3 linked regions of the Rattus norvegicus genome follow. The protein of the gene in region 2 interacts with the protein of the main gene of each other region in a pairwise test. Links are inferred from orthologs where the notes say so. Each region holds a gene or a part of one and is shown on either strand. Other genes may lie near its edges.

Region 1 (10,180 bases), on a different chromosome or scaffold from region 2:
CCAACATGCATGTAACTCTGCCATTTATTTAGGACTAATTACTAAAAAAGTAGCTATGTTCTTTGATACCATGTTTTAGGAAATTCAGTTGATTGTTTTATTAGGTTTACAGAAGGTTTTAGCTTTATGAGATTCCTGTGTAAGTTGTTGGCCTCAATTCTTGTGCAAACAGAATCCTGTTCACAAAATTCTTTCCTACAATTATGTCATGTACAATACTGCCTAGGTTTCTTTCAGCAGTTTCAGCATTTTAGACTTTACATTAAGTTATTTGATCTATGTGGAGTTGATTTATGTACAAGGTGACATATATAGGTCTAATTTATTTCTTCTGTGTAATGACAACCAGTTTTTCCAGCACCATTTGTTAAAAGTGCTGTATTTTCTCCAATTGAACTTACTGGCATCTTTTCAAATATCAGAGGAGTGTGGTTATGTACATGTACTCTTTTGGGGTCTTTGATTTTGTTACATATGTGTGTGTGTGTGTGTGTGTGTGTGTGTGTGTGTGTGTGTGTGTGTGTAACACATGGAGTGATAATGCTCTCCTAAAGAGCCATCCACTATCAAAAGAAAAAAAAAAACTCTGCAAGACATGAAATTTCCTTTCAAGTTGTTGGTAAGGAGAGTCTGAAAAACTCCCCAAAATAATATAAGCTACTGCTGTGGCCCTTGGTTTCTTTCTAGAACATGAAATTAAGACACCATATGTTTTGGACACAGGACCTGGAAGAATTAAAGTGCATCAGACCTGAAAGCTTTATATCTGGTTATTAACTTTCCTAATACCAAAAGATTGCAATCAACCAATAGTCTTATTCAGTCACACAGTCTTTAAAATCACTACAATGAGAAGACAGAGGAAATAATCCCTATGGTGAAATGGTGGCTCTTTGTTCCATGATAAATAACAGCTAATTGAACTCAAGGCATGTACTTTGCCTGGTACTGCAAACCTAGCCAACTACATATGTATCCTAAAGGAAAGCAAACTACTTCTACTTTCCCAAAGCAGTAGAATTTCTAACACTGTAAATACTTATCCTTATACTCATAGAGTAGTTTAGCTCTAATCTTTCTCAAAGAAGCTTCTTTTTACAACATATTGACACCATTACAGGAAGCTACACTGAGGGAAATGCAGAGTACCGTAACCATGGGATATTTAGTTCCAGTTGATAAAAATACAATAAAATCCCTACGTCTAAAGCCCAGAATATAAGGGAAAGAGGACAGAAAGATTATAAAAGTCATAGAACCAAGAGGTTTCAGTAGGAGTATGTCTTCTAGATATGATAGGGAAGCTATACCTATGATGACTTAAAAATATGGCTATTTACACAAGACTTGTAAAAAATAACATCACCTGTTGGCATGCCATTATGTTTGTATGTGTTTAACAATAATAAGTTTTTAAAGAAGCCATAAAATGATATAGACTGGCAAGAGAACATGAGGGAGGTTATAAAGAAGCTAATGGGGTAGAATTTTGTAATTGTGTTTTAATAAAGAGCAAATCAAATTAAATTAAACAAATATATCAAAGAATTGTTCATCAAATTTCAAAAGTAATACAGTGAAGAAAGCATAACCATATTAGAAAGTGTTTGAGGAACTATTGGCTATAAATGTGGAAAATATGAATGTCAGTAATTCTAGTGTATACATAAAATTGACACAAAACTATTCATATACCTAACTATAAAAGTTAAAAGTATAAATTCCTTAAATAAACATTGTAGAGCATCTTGTGATCTCAGGTTAAATATTTGTTGTTTGAAAAGCATATCAAAACACAATTCTTGAAAACCATATATTTGACTTGAAATTTAAGGCTTGTATTCTTGAAAACATAATTAAAATATAATTATATGATAGGCTATAAAATATGTTATGAAACTCAGATTTTAAAATTACATATTTTTTTTACTGGCAGGCTATTCAAAGTACATGAAAAACTTTAAACATTGAATAATGAGAAAATAGAATTTAACATGAAAAAATATGTGAACCAACATTTCCAAAGAGAAAATGCACCAATAGAAATCACTGGTGAAGATGCAGAATATCATGAAGTTCTAGGAAAAAAGAGGGTGAAACTTCGAGATACAGCCCTGCCAGATAAACAAGAAAATAGTAAGGAAAATGTGAAAATGTCACGTGCCAGTAAGGGCACACAGAATTGGCATTAACACACTGATGCTGGAATGGAAAATTATACAAACTGAAAATGGCAGGAAAAAAAAATACCATCATACTGTATATGTCCATTTTCTTTTAAAGTACTTTTGTTAGTTATTTAAGTTCATACAAGTTGAGCATATTCACCACTGTCTCTTCTAAAACCATCCAGATTCATGCCCTTTGTCCTGCCCACCGAACTTTGTGGGGTTTTGGTTTGGTTTTGTGTTTGGGGTTTTGTGTTTTGTTTTTAACTCATCCAGTCTGCTTTGGGTTATCTTTATATTCTTGGGTATAGGGTCATCCATTAGACTTTAAGCCACACCCTTAAGCAAAACTGATGCTTCCTTTTTTAGAAGCCATCAACTGACAATCGTCTTCACATAGATGTGAAATATACCCACCTCTTCTCCCCGTGGTGAAATTCTGTTGGGCTTGAACTTACACGGGTTGTATACATTCAGTGACTGTGGGTTTCATGTGAAACCACATAGTTGTTCCCAGAAAGTACTGTTTCTTTGTCCTTATCCACATTGACAAGCTCTAACATTCTTTTTCACTCCTTCTTCTGCAATAATCCCTGACTTGGGTGAAGAGGTATGATTCACTTATCATATTTGGGCTGAGAATTCTGTAGTTTATTACTCTAGTGCACCGGAGCTGCTTTTAGTTCTTTATGTTAGCACCATTTACTTCAAAAAGAAGCTACTCCGATGACGGTGATGAGGGTTGAACTACCCACAAATCTACTAGCATAGTGCTAAGTTTTATACTAACACTGTGTCCATTTAGCAGAATAATAATAGCAAATTCTTCCCTAGGGACTATGAATTACCTGATCAAAAGTTCTTGCCCTCAATAATTGTGCTAGTTATGTGTTTCATCTTGTGGAACAGGCCTTAAATGAAAAAAAATAGTTTACTACATTTAAAATATCCATGCCACCATTGTACAACTGAGTTAGTTACTGATTATTTTTCCATTCTGTTAACGTACATAGCACCTTTCAGCAACATGGAATTTATCCAGTAAGAATGAAGCTATCAGATGGATACCAGTTTGACTTCTTTCTGTTCTATGACTCAAGTATGCGGTGTCATCAGAAATAAGGTCTTACTGTCAAGTTCTGGAGGATAACCAAGAGCAATATCAATAGCATTTAATAGTTGGAGGTCTATGGGACTTCACTGGCTAACAGCTCCAATATATGTGGGAATAGGTTTCCATATGACTTTGTACATAGATCTTTTGTTATTGTTCTATGTATATATTCTTCTAACCAGTTTACCCATCTCCCACCTTATTCATTCCTCCTATTTCACTATTCCCTTTTCTCCCTTTAAATGATTGCATCATTTAATTGGTCCCTTAAAAGCATCCTATGCCCCACCATATGTCCTTACTAGTTTCCTGACTTCCATGGGCATTTCAAAATAAATACACAAATCTGAAGATGCAAAACTAGCATCTGCAACAAGTAAAAGCAATCAACATTTGTCCTTTGGGGAGGAGGGTGTCTGTTTTACATCATTCAGAATGATTGTTTTCAAATACATGCATTTACCTGAAAAATTCAACTTTAGTATTCAATGGGTGAATGGTATTGCATTGTATAAATGTATTATATTTTTACCATCCATTCATTGGTTGATGGACATCTGGGAGTTTCCATTTCTGGTTATCATAAATACAGAAGCATTGAACATGAATGAGACAGTGTCTCTTTAGTAAGATATAGGGTTCTTTTGGTATATGCCCAAGCAGTAGATTAATTTCCAGTGTTTTGAGGAACTCTACACTAATTCCACAGTGAACACACTGATGAATAACTTCAACAAGTAGTGAACAAGTGCTTCCTTTCCCCAAATCCCTACAAGTATTTGTCATCACTTGCTATTTGTATCTTAGTCATTTTGACTGAAGTAAGAGGAAATTTGAAAGTAGTTTTACTTTGCATTTCCCTAATGGCTAAGGATGTTGACCATTTAACAAAATGTCTCCGTCATATTCATTTCATCTTTTGAGAGCTCTTTGTTTAATTTTACGCCCCATTTTTTACTTACATTGTTTGTTTTCTTGATGTGTAGTTCCTTGTTTACTCTAAATATTAACGTGTCAGATATATATGTTGTTGAAAATTATAAAAATAAAATGCTGTCTTATACCCTCTCTAGGTCCGGCACCACAGTACCCCCAAGATATCTGATAGATATCCCAAACTCAGTCAGCAAAGCGTCTCACCTGCTCTGCTGCATCCCATATCACACTGCCGAAGGCCTCTCTGAGCCTGGAAGAAATCTCTCTACCTATCTAGGTCCCAAGGCAGGTTTCCATGCCAGAAACACACATCCCAACTCCATGTCGACCCAGACAAGCCGCCCCACACTTCCTTACATTTAAATCTACACATGAAAGATGATACAACACAATAATTTTTGATCCAATTGATAAAATACAATTGCCCACCTAAACATACAAAGCCCATTACACATCCATCCCTTAAGAACATATATAACCTGCTGAGGTACAGCGTGGAATCTAAACACAGGCTTCCAAATTGTTCTGCCGCGGCTTCGCTCCTCTCTCCTCCCCTCTTCCGTTTCTGTCTCCTCCTCTTCCTTCAAAACTTTCTCCCGCCCATCCTTCCTTTTCGTCCAATGACAGGCCTCATTCTATCTTGTACCTGCCTCACCAGTGACATCATCCCACATACATAATTGTTAAAGTTTTTCCCATTCTAAAGGCTGCCTCGTTACTTAAGTGATAGTGTAGTGTCTTTTGTTTTACAGAAGCGGTCTAGTTCATGAGTTACCATGTATTAATTGGATTTAATGTATTAACTACTGGGGAAAATGCATTCCTGTGTCAGTAAATTCAAGTATAATCCAAATATTTTCCTCTACCAGATTCAGACTATCAGGTTTTATGCTGAGGACCTTTATCCACTTGTAGCTCAGTTTCAAGCAGATTAACAGATAAAGATATAGTTTACACTCTCTATGAATAGCAAGAGAAACTAGAAGAGATAATATCAGCTCCGTATCCTACAACAAAAAACAATAAATGGAATTAGAACCGAAGGGCAACGTGATTATTAGAGAAATGAAAATACTCTAAAGTTGAGGTTAACTTCTCATTGTATAATTTTGTAAATTTGTTGGAAATGTTAACTATATGTTTACTGTAGGTAAATATTTTGGCTAACAGCACAATAAAATTGTTTTACTATCAAGCTATGCAATCAAATTATTGTTCATTTCTTTTTTTTTTATTAACTTGAGTATTTCTTATATACATTTCGAGTGTTATTCCCTTTCCCGGTTTCCGGGCAAACATCCCCCTCCCCCCTCCCCTTCCTTATGGGTGTTCCCCTCCCAACCCTCCCCCCATTGCCGCCCTCCCCCCATAGACTAGTTCACTGGGGGTTCAGTCTTAGCAGGACCCAGGGCTTCCCCTTCTACTGGTGCTCTTACTAGGATATTCATTGCTACCTATGGGGTCAGAGTCCAGGGTCAGTCCATGTATAGTCTTTAGGTAGTGGCTTAGTCCCTGGAAGCTCTGGTTGCTTGGCATTGTTGTACTTTTGGGGTCTCGAGCCTCTTCAAGCTCTTCCAGTTCTTTCTCTGATTCCTTCAACAGGGGACCTATTCTCAGTTCAGTGGTTTGCTGCTGGCATTTGCCTCTATATTTGCTGTATTCTGGCTGTGTCTCTCAGGAGCGATCTACATCCGGCTCCTGTCGGTCTGCACTTCTTTGCTTCATCCATCTTGTCTAATTGGGTGGCTGTATATGTATGGGCCACATGTGGGGCAGGCTCTGAATGGGTGTTGCTTCAGTCTCTGTTTTAATCTTTGCCTCCCCCTTCCCTGCCAAGGGTATTCTTTTTCCTCATTTAAAGAAGGAGTGAAGCATTCACATTTTGATCATCCGTCTTGAGTTTCGTTTGTTCTAGGGATCTAGGGTAATTCAAGCATTTGGGCTAATAGCCACTTATCAATGAGTGCATACCATGAATGTCTTTCTGTGACTGGGTTAGCTCACTCAGGATGATATTTTCCAGTTCCAACCATTTGCCTACGAATTTCATGAACTCGTTGTTTTTGATAGCTGAGTAATATTCCATTGTGTAGATGTACCACATTTTCTGTATCCATTCCTCTGTTGAAGGGCATCTGGGTTCTTTCCATTTTCTGGCTATTATAAATAAGGCTGCGATGAACATAGTGGAGCACGTGTCTCTTTTATATGTTGAGGCATCTTTTGGGTATATGCCCAAGAGAGGTATAGCTGGATCCTCAGGCAGTTCAATGTCCAATTTTCTGAGGAAACTCCAGACTGATTTCCAGAATGGTTTTACCAGTCTGCAATCCCACCAACAATGGAGGAGTGTTCCTCTTTCTCCACATCCTCGCCAGCATCTGCTGTCACCTGAGTTTTTGATCTTAGCCAATCGCACTGGTGTGAGGTGAAATCTCAGGGTTGTTTTGATTTGCATTTCCCTTATGACTAAAGATGTTGAACATTTCTTTAGGTGTTTCTCAGCCATTCGGCATTCCTCAGCTGTGAATTCTTTGTTTAGCTCTGAACCCCATTTTTTAATAGGGTTATTTGTTTCCCTGCAGTCTAACTTCTTGAGTTCTTTGTATATTTTGGATATAAGGCCTCTATCTGTTGTAGGATTGGTAAAGATCTTTTCCCAATCTGTTGGTTGCCGTTTTGTCCTAACCACAGTGTCCTTTGCCTTACAGAAGCTTTGCAGTTTTATGAGATCCCATTTGTCGATTCTTGATCTTAGAGCATAAGCCATTGGTGTTTTGTTCAGGAAATTTTTTCCAGTGCCCATGTGTTCCAGATGCTTCCCTAGTTTTTCTTCTATTAGTTTGAGTGTGTCTGGTTTGATGTGGAGGTCCTTGATCCACTTGGACTTAAGCTTTGTACAGGGTGATAAGCATGGATCGATCTGCATTCTTCTACATGTTGCCCTCCAGTTGAACCAGCACCATTTGCTGAAAATGCTATCTTTTTTCCATTGGATGGTTTTGGCTCCTTTGTCAAAAATCAAGTGACCATAGGTGTGTGGGTTCATTTCTGGGTCTTCAATTCTATTCCATTGGTCTATCTGTCTGTCTCTGTACCAATACCATGCAGTTTTTATCACTATTGCTCTGTAATACTGCTTGAGTTCAGGGATAGTGATTCCCCCTGAAGTCCTTTTATTGTTGAGGATAGCTTTAGCTATCCTGGGTTTTTTGTTATTCCAGATGAATTTGCAAATTGTTCTGTCTAACTCTTTGAAGAATTGGATTGGTATTTTGATGGGGATTGCATTGAATCTGTAGATTGCTTTTGGTAAAATGGCCATTTTTACTATATTAATCCTGCCAATCCATGAGCATGGGAGATCTTTCCATCTTCTGAGGTCTTCTTCAATTTCTTTCCTCAGTGTCTTGAAGTTCTTATTGTACAGATCTTTTACTTGCTTGGTTAAAGTCACACCGAGGTACTTTATATTATTTGGGTCTATTATGAAGGGTGTCATTTCCCTAATTTCTTTCTCGGCTTGTTTCTCTTTTGTATAGAGGAAGGCAACTGATTTATTTGAGTTAATTTTATACCCAGCCACTTTGCTGAAGTTGTTTATCAGCTTTAGTAGTTCTCTGGTGGAACTTTTGGGATCACTTAAATATACTATCATGTCATCTGCAAATAGTGATATTTTGACCTCTTCTTTTCCGATCTGTATCCCTTTGATCTCCTTTTGTTGTCTGATTGCTCTGGCTAGAACTTCAAGAACTATATTGAATAAGTAGGGAGAGAGTGGGCAGCCTTGTCTAGTCCCTGATTTTAGTGGGATTGCTTCAAGTTTCTCTCCATTTAGTTTAATGTTAGCAACTGGTTTGCTGTATATGGCTTTTACTATGTTTAGGTATGGGCCTTGAATTCCTATTCTTTCCAGGACTTTTATCATGAAGGGGTGTTGAATTTTGTCAAATGCTTTCTCAGCATCTAATGAAATGATCATGTGGTTCTGTTCTTTCAGTTTGTTTATATAATGGATCACGTTGATGGTTTTCCGTATATTAAACCATCCCTGCATGCCTGGGATGAAGCCTACTTGATCATGGTGGATGATTGTTTTGATGTGCTCTTGAATTCGGTTTGCCAGAATTTTATTGAGTATTTTTGCGTCGATATTCATAAGGGAAATTGGTCTGAAGTTCTCTTTCTTTGTTGTGTCTTTGTGTGGTTTAGGTATAAGAGTAATTGTGGCTTTGTAGAAGGAATTCGGTAGGGCTCCATCTGTTTCAATTTTGTGGAATAGTTTGGATAATATTGGTATGAGGTCTTCTATGAAGGTTTGATAGAATTCTGCACTAAACCCGTCTGGACCTGGGCTCTTTTTGGTTGGGAGACCTTTAATGACTGCTTCTATTTCCTTAGGAGTTATGGGGTTGTTTAACTGGTTTATCTGTTCCTGATTTAACTTCGATACCTGGTATCTGTCTAGGAAATTGTCCATTTCCTGCAGATTTTCAAATTTTGTTGAATATAGGTTTTTATAGTAAGATCTGATGATTTTTTGAATTTCTTCCGAATCTGTAGTTATGTCTCCCTTTTCATTTCTGATTTTGTTAATTTGGACACACTCTCTGTGTCCTCTCGTTAGTCTGGCTAAGGGTTTATCTATCTTGTTGATTTTCTCAAAGAACCAACTTTTGGTTCTGTTGATTCTTTCTATGGTCCTTTTTGTTTCTACTTGGTTGATTTCAGCTCTGAGTTTGATTATTTCCTGCCTTCTACTCCTCCTGGGTGTATTTGCTTCTTTTTGTTCTAGAGCTTTTAGGTGTGCTGTCAAGCTGCTGACATATGCTCTTTCCTGTTTCTTTCTGCAGGCACTCAGCGCTATGAGTTTTCCTCTTAGCACAGCTTTCATTGTGTCCCATAAGTTTGAGTATGTTGTATCTTCATTTTCATTAAATTCTAAAAAGTTTTTAATTTCTTTCTTTATTTCTTCCTTGACCAGGTTATCATTGAGTAGAGCATTGTTCAATTTCCACGTATATGTGGGCATTCTTCCCTTATTGTTATTGAAGACCAGTTTTAGGACGTGGTGGTCCGATAGCACGCATGGGATTATTTCTATCTTTCTGTACCTGTTGAGGCCCGTTTTTTGACCAATTATATGGTCAATTTTGGAGAAAGTACCATGAGGAGCTGAGAAGAAGGTATATCCTTTTGCTTTAGGATAGAATGTTCTATAAATATCCGTTAAGTCCATTTGGCTCATGACTTCTCTTAGTCTGTCTACATCACTGTTTAATTTCTGTTTCCATGATCTGTCCATTGATGAGAGTGGGGTGTTGAAATCTCCCACTATTATTGTGTGAGGTGCAATGTGTGTTTTGAGCTTTAGTAAGGTTTCTTTTACATATGTAGGTGCCCTTGTATTTGGGGCATAGATATTTAGGATTGAGAGTTCATCTTGGTTGATTTTTCCTTTGATGAATATGAAGTGTCCTTCCTTATCTTTTTTGATGACTTTTAGTTGGAAATTGATTTTATTTGATATTAGAATGGCTACTCCAGCTTGCTTCTTCTGACCATTTGCTTGGAAAGTTGTTTTCCAGCCTTTCACTCTGAGGTAGTGTCTGTCTTTGTCTCTGAGGTGTGTTTCCTGTAGGCAGCAGAATGCAGGGTCCTCGTTGCGTATCCAGTTTGTTAATCTATGTCTTTTTATTGGGGAGTTGAGGCCATTGATATTGAGAGATATTAAGGAATAGTGATTATTGCTTCCCGTTATATTCATATTAGGATGTGAGGTTATGTTTGTGTGCTTTCATTCTCTTTGTTTTGTTGCCAAGACGATTAGTTTCTTGCTTCTTCTAGGGTATAGCTTGCCTCCTTATGTTGGGCTTTACCATTTATTATCCTTTGTAGTGCTGGATTTGTAGAAAGATATTGTGTAAATTTGGTTTTGTCATGGAATATCTTGGTTTCT
Region 2 (10,080 bases):
TAGGATAATGCTGACGTGTAGGTAAGGGCTTTGAGAACTCAAGATGACAGCTGTGAGAGGATGCCCACCCCCACCTCACCCCAGTCCCCACCCCCACCCCATAGAAACTGATGCTGTACCCCTGAGATGAGGCTAGGACAGGACTGAGACCTGAACAGGGTCAGTGTCGTCATATTCAGTTTCGTCTGGCAGAATGAAGTAGATATGGTTTCCTTTGTGTTAAATTCACTATCAAATCAACCAGGAAACCTGGAAGCAGAGGCCATCATCATAAGCAAAATTGAGTTACCACGTGTGAGGGAGAGCTGGCAGAGGGCCAAGAACAACAGGAAATTCAGCAGAAAGAACCCTGTAGCCCACGCTAACCACGCCAGAAGTGGGCAGGCAGGTTTCCTCAGGTTCAGCTTAGCAGAGAAGAAAGATGTGCAAAGCAGTGAGAACCCAAGCAGATACCCACATGAGAAAGAGGAGCCTAAGTATGGCAGGGCATCATGAGTGGCCTGCTAGGCTGACCTCAGATGGTTATGGAGAACTCAGACACCCTATACCTGGAATATGGCTCTGACCCTTTCTCTCACCATCCTTCAGGAGACAGCTGCCCAGGAGGAAAAAAAAGTTCCACTAAAAGATATTTGAACCAACCGAGCTAATAATGCTACATAAGAGAGCAGGTGGGGAGAGGTAACGGGAAAGAGATAAGGAAAGCCACTCCCTAGAAAACTGTTACACAGTGAAATGCCTCTATGGGCTATGAAATCGATAATTAATCACACCACTGTGATTTAAAATACCATGCAGCAATTGCTCTGAGTGAAGAGCAAGAACCCAGTGTGAATGAGATTTCAAAGATGATGCTAGGCATGGTCATGCATGCCTATAGTCCTCATACGTGGAAGGCAGAGACAAGAGCATGGCTGTAATTTTGATGGCAGCCTGGGCTGTGTACCAAGGCTTTGTCTCACAAGGAGTGGAGGGTAGAGGGACGAAGGAAGGAAAGAAGAAAATCAAAGACAACACGCTGAGGAAAGCCTCTCAAATGAAAGTAGTCACAAAGGAGCAGCCATTCAACGGAGTGACAGGGAGTGGGGCAGGTGAGGAGCACAAGCCAAGCAGGCAAACAGAACCAAGAAAGTCGAGAAAACAACCAAGAGCCGATATCCAGGGCACACATCTGGGGTCCCCAGAGAGCTGAAAGAACTGGACAGCTCTTCTCAACACTAAGGACAGGTCACGTGTGGAGGGAAGGGCATGAGACAGCTTTGTCTTCACACAGCTTGACCCTGATCATCACAGGTGCCACCCCTAAAGAACCAAATGTGACACAATAGTGTGATATCCACCTAACCTGCCACCTGCCATCACAGATGTGGCTCGTTTAACCCATCCGTGCCAGCAGTGGACACAGGTGGTGCACTGACTATCGTGACACCCCAAGTCAATTTTTGGGTTTAATTTTCAAGCTTTGGATCATAAGAGCTCACAGGTCACTGCTGTGTTTGAGTGAATACACTGATACCTAGGCTGGGGCCTCGAACTACAGCCAAGCCCGGAAGCTTTTGTTCACGGATGGCCTATGGCTGTCTTTATGCTACAGCAGCAGAGTGAGCAGTTGCCAAGGCCCTGTGCCCTATAAGCCCAAGCCCAAGCATTTTGCAGAAACAATCAACTTCTGACATAGACAGACTTTCCCTGGACACAAACTCAGGACCTGGGTAATGCTGGTTACTTCTGAGTGGACTAAATAAAGGCCCAGGAAGGAGAGCTACTTCCCGCTCCCTCTGCTCTGGTACCTCTGACCAGAAAGGCTCCAAGGGTCTGAAGTCCCTGTCATCTCATGTCCTTTCACTCTTCCCGACAAGTGCAGAGAATTGCTGCAAACGCCAGGTGGCCTGCAGGGGAAGAGAGGAGCCATGGGCCCAATGCTCTATGCCTCACGCAAAGGAACACTGAAGAGCCTAACAAGGGAGCTTTCAAACAAAAGCTATAAACAGACTTGGGATTATAGTTCCAAAATTTCATTTAAAGGAAGTTTACTCAATATAATAGTCTCCTGTTTGGCTATAACAGCTATAATTTGCCTCAATACTCAGTGTTCTAAGGACTTTTAAAAGACCTACTTATGCAGAAAGTAATGTTAGGAACTTGCGGAAACCCCAAAGGGAATCCAGGCCAGCTTGTAGCTACTAAATAAATAAGAACCATTTCTACCTTCAAGAAAATGTTTTAAAACCAAGTAAATACCTTGCTTCCATTATTTCACCTGTTCTGAGGGACCTAACACTGGCGACACCCATTTTGAACGTTTAAGCTGCGTACTTGCAGACAACAATCTAAAGGCCAGCAGATCTTCGCTCTGTTCCAAGGAAGCAAACGTTAAATTTACCCGTCCTTTAGTCAATTCATGTACAGAGCCATTTTGTGGAGATCTCTCCAAATCCTCTGAATCCATCGTGTCAGATAAGTTTATAGCTCATTGCAAGGCTCCCATTATACCTCAGAAAAATGGCAACCTAGTTGCCCGCTAAAGAACTTTCCAGACGAGTCACTGAAAAGAGATGTTCTGAGAAACATCACCAGCTAGCAGACTCTTAACTCTCTGAAGCCACGGTGTTCCGCTGTGCTGCTGTGTGTCTAGTCAGAGCTTCTAGAAGCTTCAGAGCAGGGCCACAGCTGGCCTGCAGCTCCCACTCATACCCGTGCGAAGAAGAAGCTTGGCGTGAGCAGATGCAATCAGTTCATGAGTGTGGAAACACAGGCTGAACTTCTGTCAGCCAGCTGACCCCCCCTGCTCCATGAACCATCTGATAAGTACAAACACTTCAAGAATACCTAGAAGTTTCTCTGTCTAGACTTTCACCTCCACCCTGAGATTTCTATATGGATTTTCATTTGCCCGAAGAAGACAGTTATTTCAGACAGCCCCACAGAGAAGACTGGGTCTTAGCAAGATGCTAGTGCCCATGAATCAGCCCAAGACAGTGAAAGAGTGGCTTAAGAAATAGAATCCGTAGGGGTGTTGAAGTGGGACTCACTGTGGTAATTCCAGCCACATGACCCAGGATGGGGACCAGTCACCAGGCGGGGTCACGTTGTGGTTGGAGTCCAGGGCTGCTGGGCTGCAGTCTTCCTGGGTCTCCTGTTCCTTGACTTCCAAGGCTTTGAGTACCACTGAGGAGGGTGTGCTCTTCAGTATGGCAACGGCCTCTGTCCGGCTGACCTCTGTGAGCTCAATCCCATTCACATTCAATAAAATGTCACCTGAGGCCAGAGAAGCAAAAGCAACCTCACTGAGTGCAAATGGGATTCTGCTCGGTGTGACGGGACAGAGGCTGACCCGGGCGCATGGGCAGGGTGAGGAGAGGTGCATATCTTCAGCTCACAGAAACCCGAAGCTGGGTCCCATTTAGCAGATGGCAGAGCATGTGGGACTGGCTTGTTGGGAGTCTCTAAGGATGGCCTAACATCCTTAAATAGCTTCCTTTACTACTTAACCCCAGGCAATCTGCAGTTTCACTCTTTTAGTTTCCATTTTCTTTAGCACACAATGAGAGCACTTGACAAAAGGCTCCAGTACCTGTACAGTCTAGCATGTAGGACACTACCAACAAACAGGGACCGGAGCAGGAGTTTAGTGTCTGGCACAAGAGCCCAGAGCTTTCACAGAGGTGGGGTACAGTCACCATTTCTAGTCAATGCATCTCTGTGCATGGCAATAGCTAAGCACGACTCCTATGGGTGACGTGCTACAAGGAATCTCACTAAGTCACTTCTTGTCTGAGGTCATTCTTCACCCCGGTGCTCGCTGAGCTGCAGGAGAAATTAAGATGGATCTCCCTGCCCTTGCTCCCTAATCTTTCAATTGAATCTCCGGTTTTTTGTTTTGCTTCTTATACAACTTTTTTTTCATACAGAATAATTGAAGACAGGAGGAAAATAACAAGGGATGTCCTCAAATGCTTGCAGACTTAAAAAAAAAAAAGAGAGAGCAACACCTTTTGATTGTCTGCTTAATTCCTGTACTATGCCACACTCAAGGGAACATATTTGAGAAACTTTTTTCTGTCGAATCTGAGCCCTTAAGAAGCACAATTGTTCCTCTCCGTAAGTGACCTCTTCATGTGCTTGAACAGCGTTATTAAGAACACATACCTGCGGAGGTAAACTGGATACCTTCCTGTATGTAGAGGAGCCCAGAACATGAGTGGAAAGATCCATTTCTCACCAATGGGCAAAGTGATATTTAATTATACCATTGAATCGAGATCTATCAACACATTCATCCCATTTAGCCCACAAAACTGTACAATTCGTAAATCAGTTTCACTATTGGAGCATTCCGTAGAATCCATAGGGGCGTTAGATTGCATGGATCTAAATTGTGCTTTAGAATTGTGCAATTGTGTGCAACTTGCTCACAGGTGTAGCGGCTGTCAATTCAGCCAAGAAAGAAAGTCTAGAGGCGCTACCTTTCCTAGCAAAGCTGCCTCCTCCCCTCTCCCGTGCACTAAGAGAGGCAAGCCTAGACTACAGCATGCTCACCCTGCCCAAAGGAGCGTAGCAATCATGGCCAGCTCCCTCTCACATGCTCTCCTTGACTCTGGGAGAGCAGTTAGCGAACCCAGCAGGCTGCTAACTCCGCCCAGGCTCTGCCACCCCATGCCTTTATTCTCTTTGATTTTTGTACCTGTTTTTATTCTTCCGTCTCTGCTTATGACTCCTCCGGGCTCAACACTGATGACATAGATGGGCAAGTCCCATTCTCTGTGTGATGCTCCCCCTCCAACGGTCATGCCGAGAGATTCGTTGGGGTCTTTTTGGACACTTACAACCTTCTCATGACAAGTGGCTGCAGGCTGAAGGCACAGACACAAAGAACATGGTGCATGCATTCACCAGGCCCATTTACTCACACATATCCGCGCACTCGCATCAAAAGAGTTATTAGCATCACGAATTCCAGCACCGCAGATACAGCATCGCAGATTCTAAGGGTTGACTCTGAGAGGTTTGCATTGCAGAACGGAATACTAAACACAGAAAGGCCACAGCCTGGGGACCGTGGTAGAAATCTGGATCGTATACATTTGGCTGCATCCCGAATCTCTCAAGGAAGCCACCCACTTCTGATTACAGTAGGCCAACTTCTCAGAACACTCACTGTCCCTGTCAGTACATCTTTCATATTTAAAAATCATATTTATTAGCGGAATGTGTGGAAGCTGAGAAGCACATGCTACAGCATGCATGTGACATGTAATTGTCAGAGGACAATTTACAAAAGCTGATTCTTTCACTCCACCGTGTGGGTCCCGGGGATCAAACACACTCTGGTAAGGCTTGACAGCCAAATACCTTTACCTACTGAGCAATTCTGCCAGCCCAGCAAGCTTCTCTAGGTTTACATTTTTTTCTGACGTAATGGACCTCATATAAACGCCAGCCATATAAAATGGTGGCTAATGTGTAATCCAGAGTTCGGGGATCCACAGAGAGAGAAGGCTGGTTAAGACTAGTCAAATACGCAAGCTTGGCTTAGGCGGGAAGCAATCTCAGTAAAGATGTAGAGAGCAACCAAGAAAGATACCCGGTGTCATGCTCTGGCATCTACATGCACACGCTCACACATGCGCATGCTGTCACGTATTTGTCAATGCCCATATGCACGTGCACGCAAACCATACAGAGGCACACATTGGGCCTATACGTTTTCCCCATTTTTGGTACTTTCCAAACCGCTGAACCAAGTGGCCGAGCACCAGGACTGCGCTTGGCCTGTGTCCCTGATGGCCGTTTGCCTTCCCCACCAGTGGGAGAGAGAACGTGAGAGAGAGACAGATGGTAGTGATGGAGAAACTCGAATCTCTGAGTTAATTCCTCATGCTGACTTGCTGGGTTTGGGGCAGGAGGAGGAACCTTTGGCGGACAAAACTCTTTCTGTCTGACCTGCTCACTCTACTTTAAAAAGCTGACTTATGGGTTGGGGATTTAGCTCAGTGGTAGAGCGCTTGCCTAGGAAGCGCAAGGCCCTGGGTTCGGTCCCCAGCTCCGAAAAAAAAAGAACCAAAAAAAAAAAAAAAGCTGACTTATGGTGAAATAGTTCATATTGATTAAACCATATGGGCACTTAAGTCTATGGAGCATTTATGTTTTAGAATGTTTACCCGGGATTTGGAAGAATAAGACATTCTAAACGTCTAAAAAGCATCAGGACCCTGTAGCTTGATAATCAGTGCCAGGGTTAGTAACTGTCTCTGTGACATGGAGCTGGTCAGATTCCCCTTCTTCTTTCATGATGGTGAACACAGGCCTAAAGATGGCGCCTGTTGGTACCTAACTCTTCACCGGGGTAGAAGCTTTCCTGTCCCACAAACTATGGCTTGCTTTCTTTGGTACTTCTTGGGAGCACTTAAACTCCTATTTTCAAACGCCACATTGTTTTCCTAAATCAGTTTAAAACGTAATCATCAACAGCCAGGTAGATCCCTTTATGGGTGTGGCAGGGGTGTGTAAGGGGCAGGTAGAAGTATGATTGGAAAGAACTTCGTTCCCGGTGGGCCAGCATGTTTCCTGGAATTCAGACACATGACACAAGGTTGTAACAAAGATCTCATTAGACCATCCTGGCTTCCCCATGGCTCATGGTAGGCAGGTAGAAGGAGTTACAGAGTCTCATTGGGGTTTCTGAGATAGCTTCATGGTTTCCAGCACTGACTGCTCTTCCAAAGGTCTTGAGTTCAATTCCCAGCAACCACATGGTGGCTCACAACCATCTGTAATGATATGTGATGCCCTCTTCTAGTGTGTGTGAAGACAGACACAGTACTCATATACATAAAATATATAGCCTTTCTGTGGTATAGGTCTCATTTCTATGTTTAATGAATGAAAATATAACACATTCTACTTAATACAGCTGGTTAGATACAAGCTTCAGGCAAGATTTTTAAAAAATCTCACATATATTTTGACATCAATGAATACTATCAGATAACTTTAAAACACTAACAGTATTTATTATTGGGTAGAAAGTATCAGGGAGTCCTTGTGCATAAAACTTTTTAGCAGGGTACACTTAGCTTATCTAGATTGCTTCCCATACAAAAACATGGAACTCGAGGATTTATCTAGATGCCATTGGCTGGAGATTTTGAATGAAGGTGATCACAGGCTCCTGATTATAAAGCAGAGATGTTTTCTGCAATTATTACTCAAAAAGACCCTCAACCTTTGGCCCGATATGGAAAGAAAAATATGTTCATTCATTCCATCATCTCCGTTTTGGAAACAGGCTACATATAAAGGCGTTAGGTTGTATCCAAACATCGATTTATATCTTTATGGGCATGGCTGTTTTGCCTACTACATGTATGTACACCACCAGGTGTGTGCAGTGCCCTTAGAGACAGAAGAGAGCATCAGATTCCCCGGAAGTAGCGTCATAGAGAGTTGTGAGCTGCTGTGTGGGTGCTGGGAACAACTGGGGGGGTCCTTTGCAAGAGGAACAAGTGGTCAAAACGATTGAACCCCGTTCCAGCCCTGCTTATCTTTAGTAACAAGTACCACGATGACACAAGCTACCAGAAAGAGGAAGCTGTCCATCTTCGTGACAGAGCCAAGGTCAGAGGACTTGATCTGGACTGGACAATGTGTTGATAAGACACCATCAAAATGAACTGCATACTTGCATCTCATAGAAGCCACAGACAAGAACGTACTGGACTGCATCTCCTGGGGCCACTGAGATGGCTCAGTGGGCAAAAGAGCTTGTCACCAAGCCTGCTGATCTTAGTTTAAGCCCTGGGACCAACATGGTGGGAGGGAGGAAGAGAACCAATTGCCACGAGTTATCCTCTGACCTCTACACATACACCATAGCACATGTGTGTCTACGTGTACATGTGTGTATACCTCGCCCTACAAAATAAATGAATAATTTAATATTTTTTTTAATTTCTGGATTTAAATGATGTAAGATAAGACATGTGCTCCTGCCTTGTCTGAGGCCCCGCTCCCCTTAATGCTCCATGCTCTTCAAGTATGACCAGTGTCTTCCTTGTCTTTCGTACAAACACAAACATTAAAAATAGCAGGGGGCGGGGAATAGCAAGGGAATCAGAGTTTCCAGGCAGGTTGGGAAACTCAAAAACCACGAAATCAAGCAAACTGCTTGCCGCCTTTGAAAGCGAATGGAAAACAGTCCTTATGAGGAAGGATTCTTGGTCAAAAGTAGGACATGCATTTGGCTTACACTAGAAAGCAGGTCCCTTAGAAGGCTTGCAAGCTGGGATCTAACACTCCCCCAGCACCTTCCTCCTCACTCCTGCTTGGACGGGAGACACCTGTCACCTTCCAAGTATGAAGACAGGACTTTGGCCTTCTAGTTTCAGGAGTAGTGTTTCTTGAAACGACAAAGTCCAGAGACAGCCCTTAGACACATTAGAGTATACGGCTTTCCCAAGAAATAGCCCCTCACAGGAAGGAGCTGCCGACACGCCTGGCTGGCCCTCACCTTAGAAGATGTGCTCCTCTCCCCTGAGACAGGAGACTGCTGGCCGTTGCTGATGCAGCCAGCTTCTTGAAAGATGTCTGGGCTGGGCTGTCGAACCTGGCGGGACACGACGAGGTGAACACGTCTTTCACTGGCCTGGACAAGAGGACATTCAATTAGCCATGTGCACATGGCCCTACCAGGAGAGCACTTTCGTTTTGATTTTTATTGAATGGAATTAAAGTTTCTAAATTTCTTTTCTTATGAAATGCTGGAGACTCAGCCCCAGGGCTTTTGTGTATGCATCGTCTACCCCCGACCCTCTAGATTTTTTCTTTTTTTTAAAATTGTGGTCCAAGCTGAAAGGACATACTTTTAAAAGATTTGTTTTTAATTATGCATATGTGTGCATGTATGTGGGTATGCGCATGGGAATGCAGGTGTCCTCAGAGGCCAGCAGGGGGGATTGGATTTCCCTGAAGCTGGTGCACAGGTAGTTGTGAGCCACAGGGTGTGGGGGCTGGGAACTGAACTCAGGTCCTCTGCAAAAACAGTGTGCACGCTTAGTCACTGAACCATCACTCCAGGCCAGAAAACTCTAGATTTTTTTATGTCAGTGTCCAGCTTGCACTTCAGCAGAAAGGCCTGACTCAGGCAAGTCTTTGAAGACACACCATTCGATCTTGTTAATGTATGTTTAATGACAAGGTCAGCTGCAGGCTGAAAGGCTTTCTGAATAGAGCAAGGTGCATGGTGTGAAGCAGTCCACACCACGTGGCAGTTCCAGATAAAAGGGCAGCGGTGAAGAAAGAGAAGCAAGGTAAGAGGCAGCGACTGTGACACTGGGGAAACGGAAATGCCGTGACTACCGCTGACTCAGATCCTTCTGCACACAGGTACTGGGCAGAAGATTTGGAGGAACAAAGGTATCGCTTACTGCAAGGGTTCCTAACACGTGGTAAATCGCTGATTAGCTTTCTGCCATGGGTCACTTTCCTGTATCTCTGACTGCAAGTGTCAACCTAGACGTGCCAACCCCCAAGGCATCAGATTTGCGGGGAGGATAGGCAAGACCCTAGGGCTGCAGATCTCAAAGAAACAACGTTGATTCCCCAAACTGAAATGGCACATGGATCCTCCATTACTTCAGTGAGAAATGCAACAAGAGGCATGGTTAGAAAGGCACCTGGGGGAAGATGAAGAAATGTAAGGTCTGGTAGTTCCTCCCCTCCTTCTAGTTCTTGACCACTCACCACAGCAGAGACAGACACTGATACGCACACACTTGCCTTCATGCGTAGCGTTAAAGGGCCTTGGAGAAATCGGGTCACAACAGAGGGCCCGTACTGTGTATCTCCATTAGCTTAGACAGTGGGCACTGAGATGTTTGCCTTTTGCTGGCTATGGTTTGAATGTATGTGTTCCTCATGTGTGGAAATCCTAACCCCCAAGGCAATGGTTTGAATGTATGTGTCCCTCATGTGGAAATCCTAACCCCCATGGCGATGGTATTACCAGGCAGGTCTTTGACTTGGTCCCCATGAATGGGATCGGTGCCCTTACAACAGAGCTTGCCCCTTTCAGCACGAGAG
Region 3 (10,180 bases), on a different chromosome or scaffold from region 2:
TGATGGGATTATAAGGTAGTGCCTCCACACCAGCTAATTCAGATTACGAGCAAACCATTAATAATAGTTGGGTACTCGTCAACATCAGATTTCAATGAACAAGCCATTTTATGTCACCTTTCACATAATTTTAAAACTCCAAGAGCAATGATTCTTCTAACTATGCCAATTCCAACTCATTCATCACTCATAGAAGCTATATGCCTTCCCTAACTACCCCCCCCCGGCCCCCCAGGGTTTCTCTGTGTATCCCTGGCTGTCCTGGAACTCACTCTGTTAATCAGGCTGGCCCGGAACTCGGAGATCTGCTTGCCCCTGCCTCCCAAGTGCTGGCATTAGAGATGTGCACCACCAGCATCAGCTGCTACTACACGGCTTTTTAAAGCGAAGAGCAGAGCTGGTGATAGATAGGGCTTAGTGAGTAATGGGGTCTGCTACCAAGCCTGAGTTCAATCCCCAGGACACACATGGTGGATGGAGAGCTGGCTTTCCCATGTTGTCCCCTGACTTCCACATGTGGTGGGCACAGGTCCATGCACATAACAAAGTAAATAAAAGTGTAATAAAAATTAAAAATAAGGGGCTGGGGATTTAGCTCAGTGGTAGAGCGCTTACCTAGGAAGCGCAAGGCCCTGGGTTCGGTCCCCAGCTCCGAAAAAAAGAACCAAAAAAAAAAAAAATTAAAAATAAAATCAAAATAATGCAGAAGGCAAGGGGCCTTCCTTGTATTGAAGTCTCTCTTGAAACAGACTGCCTCTGTCACCCTCCATGCTGACGAGCTGAGCAGTAGACACTATTTATTCTTCAGCTAAGAAAACCTTGTATCAGATCTCAGACACCACTTCAACAGGGAATAAACACCCTAAAAGAGCAGACAGCGGAGAAACAGGGAGGCAGGCCTACCAGCTCCAGTACTGGAGCCCTCCAGGGATGGCTGTAATCGGAGCATATGGTAATTTGCATGCTCACTGTAGAAGGCACAGCAAGCGCGGTAAATGTTACTTTAGGAAATTTAAAGTCTGGCACAAACGTAGAAAATACCAACACCCTGTACCTACCAAAATTCCTCTTGTTAGTCAAATGCCTTGCATCCACAAAACAGCCTGTAAACCCGGACCCTAGAGCCTCAACATCCCACTGGGTTCAGAGAGCAAGCGGAAGCACGCAGGTGGGGGTGGGGGATGGGGGCACCTCAGACGTCCAACTCCAATTCTAATGAATACTTTTTTAAGTAAAAAAAACAAAAAATCATTTGGCGGAAACTTCCCTCTGAAATTAAGGGCCTTGTTAATGTAAGGTAGCATAGTTGAGAAGCCTTAAATTAAAATGCACAGCATTTCCTCTACGGAGGAATCATCTGATCTAGCCCATTAAAATCTTGGCGAGGGGTTAGAGAATGGCTATGAGCGTTGGCTGCTCTTTCAAAGGACCCAGGTTTGATTCCCAGCACCTACATGACAACTCTCAACCATTTCCAATCCTAGGGGATCTGATGCCCATTTCTGGCCTCTGTGAGCACCAGGCACACACATGTTGTACAGGTACACATGAAGGCAAACATCCCCACATATAAACAAACATTGAAAAACAAACTTGAAAAATTACATTGTTCTGGTGATAGAAAATTATTTCAACATAGTCCTAAAAAATACATTATTAGTAACTGTGTGGCTTACCCGAGAGCAAAGTTGTGTTCCCAGGATAATGTTCCTTATGTCATGGCCATCGAAGAGCAGTCTGAATGGATACAGAGAGAATGCACTTCTCAGTTTTGCTGTAAATTAAATCACACTCATTTCTGAAAGGAAAAATCACCCCAAAAACTTAAGGTGCTGGGTTTGAGATAGCTCACTGGTTAAAGAGTTCTTGCCGCTCTTTCAGAGGATCTGAGTTCAGTTCCCAGGACCCATGTCAGGTGACTCATAACTCCAGCTTCAGGGGACCCAACTCCTTCTGGCCTCTGTAGGTACCCAATACACATGGCATGCAGGCACATACTCACATAGGCAAATAAAGTTAAATCTTATAAGAAAAACGGGACTTGTGTGTAATGTGCTTCCCTGATGAACAGTATGAGGGGCAGACAGTGATTATGGCTGCTGCTAGCCAGTCAAAGTAATCCCAGAACTAACCCTACACGGCAGGACTCCATCAAAGCAAAATTTTTGATTAAGAACTTTCATTCTAGAAACTCTTGGCTTCTGCGGTATTTTTAAATAAAGTTTTATTACACTTTAGCTTCTTTTCCTATTGTCAGAAGACAACCTGTCCTCTCCTGCCCCCACATGGGTGCAGGGGATCAAACCCAGGCTGTCACACTCAGCAGTGTTGAGCAGGGCCAGGCCATTTTGTACCACTCCTCCATCTTGGCTGAGCTGTGTGATGACTCTTGAACTAAAGTGATGTTTCTATAGGTTCTTGCCTTCCTGCCTAGTCAAACCCAGGAATGGCTGGCCAGGAAAGATACATATTGATTACCTAAAGGTCTTAGTCACAAGTGACTACTCATCCATTACCCCCCAGCAACAAGCAACTGCAGAACCAAAGAGAAACTTGTCAATCTCTTTTCCCTCTACACCACTAAGGGACCCTCTGCCACGGTTCTCATGCCCTCCTGAGCCCCTGCCGCACTAGTGTCTACATTACCCGTGCAGGGCATCACTCTTCTAGAATGTTACCCTCAGTGGTCCCCCTCGATCTCCAAACCTTTCAGAATGGTGTGGAAACCCGGAGAAAGCTCCCTGACGTAGGTTGCTTCCCAGGACCCCACCACCCTGTTACTGCTTTCTCCCCACGCAACTCTGGCCTCCACGTCCACGGATTTTCCTGCCGTTCCATCCATTTGTTGCCCTTTCCCTGAAACCTTGAGTCAGAGCGTTCTGGTCAGGCTCCATTGCCTTCAAAGCAGCTGTCTAAGGACACTTATTGTCCTCAGTTCACTGTTAATGACAGTGTCACACCCCTGGAAGGGACTTCTGCTGGGAAAGAAAACTGAGGCAGCAGCATGTGGTCTGTGAGGGTTTAGAGACCCACTCTGAGGGTTGGCTAAGCAGCGCGGCCAGCAGGTGCACTCATCTCCTCAGTTCAGGGAGCTACCTGGGCTCCACCAGACAGGATGTATGTGGCAGTTTTAACAGCTGTGGCTACTGGGTAATGACTAAAGCACTCCTGGCAAACAGTTTCTGATGACACGAGGGATGACTCCACTTGGAAGAACTATAGATACAGTTCTGAAGCAGACAGTACTCAAAGGACTCCCAAAGCCGGGATCTCCTGAGGTGCTAGCTGATGGCTCTTTATTTATGTTTCTCCTCTTCTAAGACCCATAGAGTGTGCACTGATTTCATTCTTTAAAACTCTAAGCCAAAGTGTTTTAATTAGGACGAAGAAGCACAAGTGCTGGGAATGAATTCTGCTCCAGGCAGGGTTTCTTTTCTTGGTGAAACAGAAAACACTTGGTGGCATCTAAGAGTCAATGAAATACGACAGTAAGTCAACTGTTAGGCATATTAGAAAGTTTGAAGCCAAACCCGTTGGCAAAAGTCTTTAATCCCCAGCACTCAGGAGGTTGAGGCAGGAGTATCTCAGAGTTTGAGGCCAGCCTGTCCCTATAGAGATCTTGTCTCAAAAAAACCAAAACAAAACAAGGCCAGGCATGGTGGCACGGGTCTTTATTCTCACCACCTGGGAGGCGGATCTCTGAGTTCAAGACCAGCCTGGTCTACAGAGTGAGTTTCAGGACAGCCGAGGCTACACAGAGAAACTCTGTTTCGAAAAAAGCAAAGACTAAAACCAAACCAACCAACCAACCAACCAGCCAGCCAGCCAACCAAAAAAAAAAAAAAAGACCTTAAAGGTAGGTAAATCAGAAAAAACAAACAAACAAACAAACCCCAAAAGGCCTAGCCTATGAAAAAAGAACAGACCACCTTCTACGCCAATAAAGGAGTATTTTTTTCCAGCTTTACAAGTTCTTTGCCTGTCAAAGGTACTGTGTTTCTCAAATTCCCCCTCAGTAGATCTCTGCAGTGACTCTAAAGGGGCCAGGAGGGAGGGAGGTGGAAAAGTGCTGCCACAAGATTAAAGTCACTCAGGGCCCCAATCTCCTAAGCCTCGGCTGAGCCTGCTGCTGTGAGGGGCTTGACTTGCATCACGAAAAGGGATTCAATTAAGTGTTCCAAACCACGGTTACTTGTGTTGACACTACATCGTTCACACTGATGTGCACAAACCATTTCTAGAATGTCCTGACCATCTCTTAAAACTGTATCTACTGAATGGCGGCCTGGCACTTGATATATTATGTTTCGTGTCCTGTCTGTCCCAGACGCTCCATTCCAAAAGTTTCGGTGTTCATCCCTGTGTCTTCCTCTCAGACAGTACTTTGGAAACAAGCAAGGAATCAATTTCTATTACGTTTTTTAAGTTCTTCACTAAGCTGCTCCTAGAGACTCTGCTACTGTGCTAAGTTAAGGGTCTCAAAGGCAGGTGGAAGTCTGGCCCTCCCTAAGCCTGTATGTAGATGCTGGCCTGGTTAAGCAGGGCACTTCCAAACAGTCCTGAAGGCAGCCTGGGGTTCCTGGAAAGAGCAAAGAGTTGTGGAGACCAGTGCAAACCTCTGGGAAGAGAAGTTCAAGATACACTGAACTGCCTAGATCCTGAGATGGGACTTCACTTAGGACAGTAGCTCGTGACACTTTGCTAGGTTTGGTGACACTTGTCAGAACTGAGGCCAGACTGTAGTCAGACTACTGGTAATGTTGCCTGGGCAGGGGAGTTTCACAGGGTCATGAGTCACCTTCCATGTCTCAGAGGTCCAGGCAAGGCCCGCCCTGCCTAAACAAACCCAGTTGGGAGGGAGAGAAAAAAACCCAGACAAATGGCCAAGAAGTCGGTGTGACATTCGGGCCCTGAACCAAAGGGCGGCCCGAGGGGACAGTAGCAGGGTCAAAACACACTGAGGAAAAGAGGAGACAGAGGTAAAGACAAAGTCCAAAGACTGTCAGCACCAGAGATGCAAAGTGTAAACTCCAGCTGACAAGAGGCCAGGTGAGGACAAAAACAGGTGACAACGGTCTGACAAAGAGGCGAAACTCAGAGCAGCGAGGTTCTCCTTCACGGCGTCGGTTCGCGCGTAGGTGGCTCGACCCCGAGGTCGCCCCGGGGGCGGATTCTCCAAGCTCTCGAGCCTGCGGTGCACCTGCCGCCGGGTGACCTTGGCCAGGAGGTCGCCCGGGAGGCCGCAGGACTCCAAACCGGGGAGCCGGGGCTTCGGAATCACTCGCGCCGTCCCGCATCACCGCCGTCGGAGGGAACGCAGTGTCCCGTGTCGCGGACACTCGTGACCCCGACCGCGACCTCGCGCGCGAGCGCCCAGCCTCCCCACACCGCCGTACCTTCAGACGGCTCCGCGCTCCCAGCTCCAGCCTACCGGAGCGTCCCTGTTGCCGTACGAAGGCCTTATTCTCCGCCGCCACCGCGGGGACAACTTCCGCCCGAGCCTCTCGCCCCTCGGATACGCTTTCTGATCCCGCCCCCGAAACTGCCAGTGCTTCCGGAGGCGTGTCAGCGACGCTGTGGTGTGCGTATGCTCCAGGAGTCCTTTCTGGGCGGGTCTTCAGGAGAGCACGCTAGGGGCTGGCGCCTGCGCAATGGTTTCGAAGCTAGTTCGTAGTTCGTAGCTCTTTGAACCTAATCGATAGTTCAGCGTATAAAGGTGCTCGTCGCCAGGCCTGGGTACTATCTCTGGAGCCCGTGGTGGAAGACTAACTCTTACAAGTTATATGCTAACCTCAAAAGCGAACTATGGTAAACGAACGCTCACTCCTCCCCAGTCCCCCAAAGAAAAAGTAATAAAATTCCAAGATGGCTTTGAACTCACTATGTAGCTCGAGTTGGACTGACATCCACTCGTGCATGTACCTACTGAGTATCAGGATTGCAAGGATGTGTCCCCATTGTTGGTGTAGGGTGGATACCCCGACTGGACCAAACATACATTTGCTTTAGGTTAGACAGTTTCCTAGGTGTGCGCGCCAGTAGGGCTCTGGAACTCAGACGTATTCAGAGAGAAGGCTGTGACTCTCCAAGAGAATTATTCAAAGAAATTCTGGGACGGCTGGAGAAATGGCTCAGCGGTTAAAATCACTCATTTCTCTTCCAGAGGACCTGGGCTCAATTTCAAGCACCCAAATGGTGGTACACAGCCTCCTTAACTCCAGTTCCAGGGTATTTGTCTCCCTCTTCCGGCCTCCACTGACACCAGGCAGACAAACAATACCCAAAACCGTTTGCAGGCAAAACACGCATACACATTTAAAAAAAATTAAAATAAAAAAAGTTCGGGGAAACAAAACAGAAGAAAACAAATACTGAAACACAGAACTGGGAACAGGTGCAGAACATCTTGCTAGGGGGAAAAATGTGGGGCTTAAGGAAATGGCTCAGTTGGTAAATCTTTTGCAAAGAATTGCAAACTTGAGGACTTGAATTCAGTCCCCAGAACTATATAAAAATAGCAGGTGTGGGGGGCTGGAGAGATGGCTCAGTGGTTAAGAGCACTGACTGGGGCTGGGGATTTAGCTCAGTGGTAGAGCGCTTGCCTAGGAAGCGCAAGGCCCTGGGTTCGGTCCCCAGCTCCGAAAAAAAAGAACCAAAAAAAAAAAAAAAAAAAAAAAGCACTGACTGCTCTTCCAGAGGTCCTGAGTTCAAATCCCAGCAACCACATGGTGGCTCACAACCATCTGTAATGGAATCTGATGCCCTCTTCCGGTGTGTCAGAAGACAGCTACAGTGTACTCATATACAAAATAAATAAATCTTTAAAAAAAAAATAGCAGGTGTGGCGGCAGGATTTTAATGCCAGAGCTTCGGAGGCAAGGATCAGAACAACAGGGAGCCTGCCTAAAAGGAGTAGATGGCTGGGGTTGGGGATTTAGCTCAGTGGTAGAGCACTTGCCTAGCAACCGCAAGGCCCTGGGTTCGGTCCCCAGCTCCGAAAAAAAGAAAAAAAAAAAAAGGAATAGATGGCATTACTGATGGTGGCATTACTGATTATGACACTGGAGGTTATCCCTTTGACCCGGATAACCACCCATAGGTCTGTATATCCACATCCGCACGAACACATACAAATATACATGCATATAAAAAAATCTTGGGGCTGGGGCTGGAGAGATGGCCTAGAGGTTAAGAGAACTGGCTGCTCTTCCAGAGGTCCTGAGTTCATTTCCCAGAACCCATGTGGTGGCTCACAATCATCCATACTGGGATGTGATGTCCTCTTCTGGCATGCAGGCATACAAGCTGATAGAACACTCATAAACATAAAATAAATAAATCTTTAAAAAAAATTGGGGATGAAGAGATAAGTTATGAAGCTGTCTTGGGCTACATAGGTCATTCTGGGTCAACTTGAACTGTGCAGTGAGATCTTATCTCAAAAAAGCAAAGCAAAATAAAACCACAGCACAACCGGTAGTAAGGTGGTTAAGACTCAGGGCAGCTGCTTGGCATCATCTGAAAGCTACACTCTGTCTCCAGACTTCTTGCTCTGCCTGCCTTAGACCTTGTCGTATCATGCGTGTCTAATGATGCTTGAAGTTCCCAGCTTGTGTGCTCAGAGTCCAGAAGAAACTTGAAAAAAGTGGTGAATCATTTAAGGAGCGTATTCAACTCGATGCACTTAAAAATACTTTCTCGGGGGCTGGAGAGATGGCTCAGTGGTTAAGAGCACTCAGCTGCTCTTCCAGAGGTCCTGAGTTCGAATCCCAGCAACCACATTGTGGCTCACAACCATCTGTAATGGGATCTGATGCCCTCTTCTGGTGTGTCTGAAGACAGCTACAATGTACTTATATAAAATAAATAAATCTTAAAAAAAAAAAAAAAACTTTCTCCCGATCCTCCCACAGTGATGTTTATGGGTTCATTTTCTTTGCCTGCTTGTGGCAAGAAGTTGGTCAGTCTATACCTGATCCAGTACCACCAGCTAATCATGAGATGACCGAGATGGGTTGGGTCAAGTCTGAGTCATCAGAGACAGCAGAGATGAGTCTAGCTTCCTCAAGTTCAAGAACCCACACCTGCTCCCTGAACAAACTATTTGTTTGATTTAATAGTCCCTGGGGAAGTTCCCGGAGGCATTTCGGGAGGTCATACGAGTGCCTGGGTCGGGGATTGGGGGTGGGGTCAGAGGACAATTTATGAGAGCTGGTTGTCCCCTTCTTCCACGAGGGTCTCGGGGATTGAACTTAGGTCATCGGGTTTGGTGGCTTTACTTGTTGGTTCATCTCACTGGCCCTAGAGTAGTTTATTAAGAAGTAATTTAAAGGTAGACTTTAAGAGACAGGGAGGCACTTGAGAAGAAAGGAAGACATAACTAAGAGCATGGGTGTGGGCTTCCCAAAGGAGGTCCTTATCTCATTGGCTTACAATGATCACATGTGGGGTTTGGGAGAATTTTGAAGTTATTATCTTCAAATATTTACTTTTGAGATATACCTGACAATATTAAAATTGTGCATAGGTGTTTGTGGATGCCAGAAGAGGGTATTGGATCCCCCTAGAGCTGCAGTTACAGGCACTTGTGAGTCACCCAACCCTGGATTCTGGGAACTGACCCTGGGTCCTTTGAAAGATCAGGAAATGTTTTAACCATTGAGCGGTGTCTCCAGCCCCTTGAATTAGTTTCATCTTTAAAGGCCATTTAAATCGATAGGTTCCTCTCCTTATCCAATATGTCCCTTATTTGCTTGTAGCCAAATGTAGTTCCAACTGGTGAGCCTTTCCAAATAGAAACACTAAAAGATTCAAAGGAAATATTAATGTGATTTTAAAGGATGAGCATCTTCTAAGGTGGTTTGGAGTATGCTCTGACAGTATATTAACCTTCAGGACATCTATGCTGTTCAGCTGAGAGCCTCAATGTGTCTGATCAGCAGGAAACACCCTGGAGTAGTTTCAGCAGGAAAGGACCACAAAGACAAAAAAAGGAAGTCTATCAGATAGCTGTTGTTAACCCCAAAGTGGTGGATGGCAACAGAAGTGTGTTCATTTGTGGACAAGGTCTTCAGACTTGCTTTGAACTTGCCACAGAGAGGAAAATGACCTTGAACTGCTTGCCTCTGTGTCTTGAGTGCTGGCATCAGGGACATGAATCATTATGTCCAGTCCATGCAATGCTGAGGGTTGAACACAGGGCTTCATGCATGTCAGGCAAGCACACTACTAATTGAGTTACTATGTGTGTATGTGTGTGGTGTGTGTGTGAGAATGTGTGTGTATGTATAGATATATATGTATGTGTATATATGTACGCATATATGTATGTACATGTACATATACACATATATGTATATATACACATATGCATCTATATCGATATCCACTTCCATTTCCATCTTTATATCTTAAGCTACGACCATTTGAGCTTAGATCTTCCTCGCAGGTGAGCCAGATTTACTCCAAATGAATTCATTCAGGCAGACCCAGCCTAAAGGGATAGCACCAGCCCAGGAGCTGCTCTCCTGACCAGTCAGAGGGTCTAGCACTTTAAATTTTCTCTTGTGGGCTGGAGAGCTGGCTCAGCGGTTAAGAGCACTGACTGCTCTTCCAGAGGTCCTGAGTTCAAATCCCAGCAACCACATGGTGGCTCACAACCATCTGTAATTGAGTTAGTGTCCATGTCTTCGTGTTATGTGCCATTGGGGATAATTCATAGCCACAGTAGTGAACAGATGACAGACTGTGGGGAGACCGCCACTCAACCTCTGTTTCCAGGACCTGAGGTTAGAGTTTGTGTTCAGCCATATGTTGGGAGTTCCGAGATGCATGGAACAAGATGGGTGTCACTGGGGAAAGAATGCACTAAGGGGCATTGAGCAGGTCACATTGTCTTCGGGAAAGCTGGGATTCAATCATGTAGCCAAAACCCACATGACTATCAGGATAGAGGACTAAAGCTACCAGCCATTGACTATTGCCACTGCTCACTGCAGTCTGCAATCTTGTCATCTCTGCCGCTTTGGAGATTGATCCTCTGCGACTGCACACACACACACACACACACACACACACACACACACACGCACACGCACACGCACACGCACTCCAAGCTGCCTATGATCAAGTCAGAGCAGTGACAAGGTAATGCACAAGGAGCAGACATTTTTGTGTTAAA

The links.
Region 1: the proteins of Lnx1 (region 2) and Ldoc1 interact in a two-hybrid assay, tested with the Homo sapiens proteins (2 studies listed by BioGRID and IntAct). The link is inferred for Rattus norvegicus from reciprocal best matches to the Homo sapiens genes LNX1 and LDOC1.
Region 3: the proteins of Lnx1 (region 2) and Zbtb43 interact in binary tests that used the Homo sapiens proteins (3 or more experiments, as listed by UniProt). The link is inferred for Rattus norvegicus from reciprocal best matches to the Homo sapiens genes LNX1 and ZBTB43.

What each region holds. Positions count from the first base shown.
Region 1 is NC_086039.1:144,996,360-145,006,539, reverse strand, and holds the start of Ldoc1 (protein LDOC1 precursor), read right to left. Parts: upstream 4,774-10,180; 5' UTR 4,698-4,773; intron 1-4,697. UniProt on the Homo sapiens protein: May have an important role in the development and/or progression of some cancers.
Region 2 is NC_086032.1:33,955,055-33,965,134, reverse strand, and holds part of Lnx1 (E3 ubiquitin-protein ligase LNX), read right to left. Parts: intron 8,645-10,080; coding exon 8,510-8,644; intron 4,854-8,509; coding exon 4,685-4,853; intron 3,259-4,684; coding exon 3,033-3,258; intron 1-3,032.
Region 3 is NC_086021.1:37,155,990-37,166,169, forward strand, and holds the start of Zbtb43 (zinc finger and BTB domain-containing protein 43), read right to left. Parts: upstream 5,497-10,180; 5' UTR 5,397-5,496; intron 1,738-5,396; 5' UTR 1,677-1,737; intron 1-1,676. UniProt on the Homo sapiens protein: May be involved in transcriptional regulation.